Linked DNA regions of Caenorhabditis elegans. The protein of the gene in region 2 binds, or shares a complex with, the protein of the main gene of each other region. Each region holds a gene or a part of one and is shown on either strand. Other genes may lie near its edges.

Region 1 (3,754 bases), on a different chromosome or scaffold from region 2:
CGTAGAAGAGAGCACTTCTGTAAAAATAGAATTGACATTTTTATTAATCGTTAAAACTAAAAATTACCTGAGATCTCTGATAATAAAGAAAAGAAGATATGTCTCAGCATAGAGAGCCTTGTCGTAATAGGCGATGTGAACTGCTTCAAACTGGTCTGTTTTGATGGCAAAATCGATGCATTCTTGATACTTGCGACGCGATTCCTCGTATTTTTCGTCGAGTGACAAGCATTTCGCCTCAATTAGCATAATTTTGGTCTCAGACACAGCTCCTTCCGTATTATTCTCGTTGAACAATTTCACGGCTGCAATCTGTTCAGCACATATTGACAAAAGCTTCTTCTTCTCATCTTGATTACTCTCGACGTCTCTTTCACATCCTTCGAGGCACACGGAAGCGAACAAAATTCGAGCTTGACCGATATACTTCTCTCCGTTCTTCTTATTGCTGGTGTAATCAATGAGATCCTCAGCAAACCGTCGAGCCTTGGAGAACTTTTCCATTTTGAGTGCCTGCTGGACGATGCGACGTGTGGAATCACATGCTTCTGGGTAGTTGAAGATCAATCTGAAAAATTAAAGTTATAGAATGCCCAGCCCATTTCCGTTTAATTCACTTACTTGAACATGTTCAACTCATGTTCGAAAAACTCCAAGGCCTTGGCGTCGTGGTTCAAATGCCTGCACACTCTTCCGTAATACATGTAGATTGTACCAAGCAGTTGAAAATTGGAGGTTCCGAACTCCATTGTGTCCTCTAAGCGTCCTTTTCCATCCTCGTATTGTCCCAATTTCATGGCCGTCACCGCGCTTTTCAGCATTGCTTCGATGACTTCATCCTTAGGGCCATCATAATAAGAGACGTCCATTCGTTTTGCGAATGTGGAAACTTCTGAAATAAATCGAAAATTGCGAGCAAAAATAAAAAAATAGAGGAATTTTACGCAAACAGACAAAAATTTCACGCGGATCTGCACGAATACACGAAATATTTAAAACGGGGAAAGTTTCTTCAAATATCTCACGAGGTTTAATAGACTATTACACATTTTGTTTAAAATTTTACAATTTTTCAATAAAACAACCGCTGAAAAACAAATAAACTTGAACAATGACTCGAGAATCTCTGTGGGGAAGTGAAACTTGGCGGTTAACGCGTTGTTTTTTCGCGCGCTCTCAACTTCTAATTTAGCGCCGCTTTCTGATATGTCGTCAAATGTGTTGCCGATGTACGCAAGTACACCATCACGCGCATTTGCACACTCAGTGGAGTTTGCAAACAAATTTTCAAAAATAAATTAAATACTGTTTATTGTTTAATTTTATGCATATTTGTACAATTTGAATGTTATAGTTTGATTAAAACTATTCGAAACATGTAAATAAACTTTAAATTTGTAAATGTGTCGCTTCCCAGACCGTATATTGTGTATTCTTCAAATAAATATGTATTTCGCAGAAACTGTCTTCCCAACTCCGAGCCGCACTGGCGGATAATTCGCCGGCTGCTCCAATATCACCGGCTCCATCTGGCTCGGCCTTGTCACTCGATGAGTCGTCTGGAATTTCAGACCGCGATGTACATTCTTCTCAGGAACAAACGGCACATCTCTCCGAAGTCGATGTAAAATCGATTCATTCATCGGATAGCGAAGATGGTATGCTGCAGTAGAACAAGGAAGATATTTATTTTCTATAATTTCCAGAACCAGCGCAAAATCCCTTACCAGAAGTTCCTGCAAATTGTGGCCCTCCGACGATACCTCTAAATGTTCTATTAGACTTTGCAATTCAACATGTTTACCACGAGATCACAGTTCTTGCGGAATTGATGCAGCGGAAGACAAATGATCAAGGAGAGCAGGAGCGGAAAATGTCTCTTGTACATTTTGCACACGCTACTCGCAGTCAATTTTTGAAACTTGTAGCATTAGTAAAATGGATACGGATTTCGAAGCGAATGGATGTTTGTTATGTAAGCTTAATTCGCTCGATTTCGATCGAAAAAAAAACATTAATTTTCCAGTCTATCGACTACCTTCTCGATCTCCAATCACAATATTTCATCGACACGGCCGATCGATTAGTCGCAATGACTAGGGGAGATCTCGAATTAGCTCGTCTTCCAGAATACCATATTGCGCCAGCTATTGATGTTCTTGTATTAGGAACGTATAATCGAATGCCATCGAAAATCAAAGAAGCTTTCATTCCTCCAGCAAAGATCACACCGAGAGAACAGAAACTCGTCACTTCCCGATTAAATCAGCTCATTGAAAGTCGGCTTTCTCGACTTTCAAGCGGAATCCCACCAAATATAAAAGAAATTCACATCAACAATGGACTTGCAACTTTACTGGTTCCTGGAGAGTTTGAAATCAAGATTACATTGCTCGGTGAAACAGAAATGACAAAGTGGACTCTATTGAATATCAAAATTCTCGTGGAAGACTACGAACTTGGAATGGGACTTCCTCTTGTACATCCATTACAGCTTAATCAGCTTCATGGAGTACTGCAATCTCGGATGAATGTTTCCTTAAATCCTATTAAAGAAGCTTTCTCCTTTTTGCACAGTTTCTGTGTTTCACTACAATTGGATGTTTTGTTTTGTCAAACTTCAAGATTGGCAGCTGGAAGGTTACGTGATAACATTACAATCGAAAAGTATGACCCAAAAGAACGAGTTTTGGTAGTTGGATACTGGGTTAAAAGATCGAAGAGTCGAAGATTAACTGTAGGACAAGTCAAATGTGATGCACAATACAGAGTTCAGATCTATGAAGATCCAAATGACAAGCTAGGTGGACTTAAAGTTCGTCATTTCCCTCATGCTCCTCAGCTCGGACGACTTGATTCTGGAGCTGGAATGTTGTCAATTGATCGACTATTATCAGAAACATATGTGGTCAGATGTAAGGAACGATTGATGCGGTTGAGAAGAATCCTTGAAGCTGCTGAACCAAGATTAGAAGTGAAGATGACTGGAATCTCTGCACCGTCACTTTCTCTTGCTCTCCTACCGGATACCTCTTCAAAGGATGAAATGATGACGGTATCTGTGAATTCATTCTGTGGAAAAGTGCTCTGCAACGTTCACATTCTCAGTGAGTTGTGTCGTTTCAAATTCCAGCATATTAATTTTAAAAAAATACTCTATTTTTTACCAAAATTATAAAAGAAATAAACTTATTCATATTTCAGGTGCTGAACACGAAGATGTCCTGGCTTTTGGAAAAGCTCTCTACAGTAGTCAATGTTCAGCGCACACAATTCAAATGTATCTTAGAAAACTTCGTGTCGCCCTCGTGATAGAACGATATCGACGATCAGTGAAAGCTCTTCCAGTTCGTGAAGTTCAAGAAGCTGAGCTTCTTCCATTTGCAAAGGAATGTCTTGGTGATGCTCCTGCCCAACGAATTATTCTTCAGTTCCTTCGATCTGAAGACTATTATCTGCTTGTCACATTCTCTCCCGATGAAAAAGCAGTTGTTAAGACTCACATTCAACTTTTGGAAGTTGTTGGAGACCGAGCTCAGTTCATTCAGTTGGAGGATGATGAGATGAATGGAATGCATGTAAAAGAAGCGATTAATCAAGGAACGATGCGTTTCTCGCCATCTCATAAAACATCACTTCAAGAAGAGTGTTCGAGAGAGCAGAGACTTGCATTTGCAGTGGCTACTGTAGAAGATCGGATCACGTACATGTATCTGGCGGCTGAATTAATGAAAAAGGGAATTGGAGTTGATGT
Region 2 (3,638 bases):
TAAAGATCAATTTCTATGCCTGGAAGCTCTGAATTTGGAAACTTTTTTCTCGGTGATGACGGGAGCGGGGTCTCTGCTTGTCGACGGCTCACACTCGTACGGATTCTTCTCAACAATTTCTCCTGGAAATGTCATTGTGCTCATCGCAGCAAGTTCCTTTTGCTCGGGTTCGAGAGCTGAACGATCAACGGGTGTTGGTTCAGTGCTCCGGAGAATTGATTTGGTTTCAATAACTGAATCTTCTTCCTTGATTTCGACAGTGTCTGTTTGATGGAATGTTTTCACATTTTCAAGCTGTTGCGCAAATCGAACTCCCGATTTTTTCCGTTTGACGGTGGTTTTTGTTACGGTTTCCTAAAAATTGTGTGTTAAAATAATAGTGAATTGTTTCTATTTAGTATTTGAAATTACCTCAACAATTTCTTCGACCTTAATCACTTGGGTCTCTATCTTTTTGGATTTCAGTTGTTGGTCAGAATTATTGCTTTTCTCGATATTATCATCAGATGCATAATCATCAGAGTCGAGTTCTTCTACACTATTGTTAAGATTCTCTTCATCATCGTCTCCTTCCTCTTCATCTTCATCATACTCCTCATCGGAACTCTCTTCATCACAAGTGTCTAAGAAATCTAACAGCCGTTCCATTTCCTTCTGTGTTACTCCAGGTTGTGCCAGCAAACGTTCATTCATTCCAAATCTTAGTTTTTTATCAGTTGGATCTTGTTCAACTTCCTCAACTTCCTCTAATTTACCCAAATCCTGTAAATCTTCGTTTGAAACTTCAAAAGGTTTCGGAATTGGAGCTTCTTCCATCTCATCATTGTCTTGTTCCAGTTTCTCTAGTTCTTCCAAACGGTTCATCACATCGTTGTGATCTTGGTCACCATTCAATTTGTTCTTTTCTATTATCTTCTCGTTCTGTTCATCATTTTGAGACATCTTTTTGTTTTTGCGATTTTGATAAAACAGTTTTTCCATCTCTTCATCGTATTTCTCGACAATTTCGATAGGTCCTCCATCAATCGAAACAGATGAGAAATTATCTTGAGCAAACTTTATTTTGTCATCCAACATTCGAATTGAATCGAGACCTTCCTCACGCTGCCTTCTCATTTCAGAAACTCTCCGATCCAAGATCTTTTCAGCTGTATGAATGCTGCATTCTCCGTAATAGTTTGCACCCATTTCCATCGTAACTTGATTCGTGCGAACTACATGGGCACCGCAGAAATAACCGACTTCGCAAATTTTCGCCTAAAAATTAGAATAAGATTATATGAGAGAGAATGTAATTTACCAAAATAGGAGCTTCCAACTTTTTCGAATATTCCTTTGCTCGTTCCAGAACTTTTTCATAGTTATCAGCAATGATTCTTCGACATTCGGTCTCAACTTCGAGCCGAGCTTTAGCCTGAAAAATTAAATTCATACAGACTTAATTATTTTTATACTATTTTAGGGAAACAAACTCGGAATTTAAAAACGAATTATTTTTGTCTTGTCGTTCATAATCATGTAAAAGGATTTTTAATTTACCGCATTGCATTCTGCAACGTAGAGTTCGCTCATTTTTTCAGATAGGTCTTCTTCACTCGTCACAGTCATTTTCTGCAAATCTTAGAGAGGTAATTCGGAGCGGAAAATGGGAAAAAATGTTAAAAAGTAACAATTTCCGAAAGCGCAATTTAAAAAAGTACAAAAAAGTACAAACTTTTATGGAGACACTACTGATTTCTGGAATCTGTTAAATCTTAGAAATGAACTCTTTCAGAATTTCAAACTTCTTTTTTTATATGCGTAAAACTTATCGCATATATTTTATGCAATATTGAAAGTAAGTAGAGTTTTAACCATTAAAGTAACTGAAACCAGAGTTTTATCGTAAAAATGGTAAAATATTCGGGAGTGTTGGTTTCCCTGGAAATGAGTCACGTAGAGTGTGAGTCCGCAAACACCAGCTGTGAATTGCGTAGAATACATTTAATATCACGCTCAAATAGTTTTGAATTAATTTAATTTTTTAAAAACATTTTTTATTCTGTTTATTTAGTTGATTCATTCAAAATATGGACAATTTAGTGGATATTGATGAAGATGGAACACAAGAAAAGGTATTTCGATTGTTAAAATCCATCTAAAACATTTTAATTCAGCTTTCTGTGAATTCAACTCCCTATCAAACACAAGAATGCGTTCTTTATGGATCTATTTTCGCAAAAAATGTCCCAGTTAGTTTTTAAAGTAATTGGACTAAATTCTAATACAAAAGTTTCAACTTTAGGACTTGGAACGACGTTTAGCCGGCCTTTGTGATCCGGGATGTGAGGAATTCTTCGAGCATGAGATGTCATTCAGCCTACGATCTTCGGGTATAATGGATATCAAAACCGATATTAAGTAAGCTTTTTTGTTTATCTATTTAAATATTTGCATGTATTTGATTTTTGAAGATTGCGAAGAAGATTCCGAACAGAACATCGAATTCAAAATTATTGGCAATTAAAGTACATTGGAGGTCGGTTTTAACCTTATAATTCGTATTTTATAATTTTTTGTTTTATTTCAGTTCCGGAACCAGATCAAAAATGCCCAACTATTGTTCGAAAAGAAATCAGTTCACTTGTCCATTCTCAGGATATGATGACGTATGCGAAATCCTTGGGTCTCCGCATGGACTATGAATATATGACACAAGGAAAATTGTGGACAAAAGGAAATATAAAGATTCTGCACTCAATATTGACTAGTACTTCTCGCGCAGGAACATATGATTCAAATTCAATCAAATCTGTTTCTGATTCTGCGTTAGTGGAAATCAGTATCTCATTGCCCGAGTCTGCAGAATACATGCCGGTAGGTTTTTTAGTAATAATTTCGAATTTATTTTTTCAACTCATTTTAGGCTGCCAAGTCTCTTCGTGATTTTGCCGATCAGCTGATGCCACTTGTTAATATGGAAAAAGTCGATTACTGGAAGAAAATGTTCCCAGCTCAAGCAGCTCCTCGTCGTTAATCTTCATTAATTGATTGATCTCACTTTGATACGTTATTTAATTTATAAAATTCACGAAGTATTCAATAATGTTAATATCCCACAAAGCTTCAATGGTTTATACCTTTTATTTTCTGATATCAACATTAAACATTTTTTTACTCCAATGAAAATTTAGAATGTCATCGAAAAATCCAGTAGATGAGCAACCTTGCTGTGGCTCCCATGAAGGTTCGCATCAAGATCCTGCTCCGGAGACGTTAGTAGTTGAAAAAGAAGTTAACAATGGGGAAAAGAAAATACGAATTGCTGTTGTCGGATGCTCTCACGGAGAAATGGATGCTATTTATGAGGTAAAATTTAAAAAAAAATCATATTTTTCGAACAAAATTAATGGCATATTTCAGATCTATTTTCTCTATTAGATTGTTTTAATTGCTATTTAAAATTACAACTATTTAAAAAAAATATTTCAGACAATGACACTAATCGAACAGAAAAATGGCTACAAATTCGATTTGCTGATCTGTTGTGGCGATTATCAAGCTGTCCGAAACTACGGCGACCTTCCACATATGAGTATTCCACCAAAGTACAGAAGTCTTCAAACATTCTATAAATACTATTCTGGAGAACAAAAAGC

The links.
Region 1: mdt-18 (region 2) and rgr-1 share a complex: the UniProt entries of both Caenorhabditis elegans proteins name them as parts of the mediator complex.

The regions. Positions count from the first base shown.
Region 1 is NC_003281.10:9,392,273-9,396,026, forward strand, and holds the start of rgr-1 (Mediator of RNA polymerase II transcription subunit 14), read left to right. Parts: upstream 1-1,831; coding exon 1,832-1,975; intron 1,976-2,026; coding exon 2,027-3,107; intron 3,108-3,204; coding exon 3,205-3,754. Other genes in the region: gpr-2 (G-protein regulator 2), read right to left, coding at 1-17, 68-568, 622-869. UniProt on the Caenorhabditis elegans protein: Component of the Mediator complex, a coactivator involved in the regulated transcription of nearly all RNA polymerase II-dependent genes.
Region 2 is NC_003279.8:6,492,263-6,495,900, reverse strand, and holds mdt-18 (Mediator of RNA polymerase II transcription subunit 18), read left to right. Parts: upstream 1-2,053; 5' UTR 2,054-2,069; coding exon 2,070-2,114; exon of another isoform or gene 2,115-2,156; coding exon 2,157-2,231; intron 2,232-2,284; coding exon 2,285-2,400; intron 2,401-2,453; coding exon 2,454-2,518; intron 2,519-2,569; coding exon 2,570-2,856; intron 2,857-2,905; coding exon 2,906-3,016; 3' UTR 3,017-3,079; downstream 3,080-3,638. Other genes in the region: uri-1 (Unconventional prefoldin RPB5 interactor), read right to left, coding at 7-354, 412-1,257, 1,301-1,414, 1,540-1,572; dbr-1 (Lariat debranching enzyme), read left to right, coding at 3,175-3,348, 3,472-3,638. UniProt on the Caenorhabditis elegans protein: Component of the Mediator complex, a coactivator involved in the regulated transcription of nearly all RNA polymerase II-dependent genes.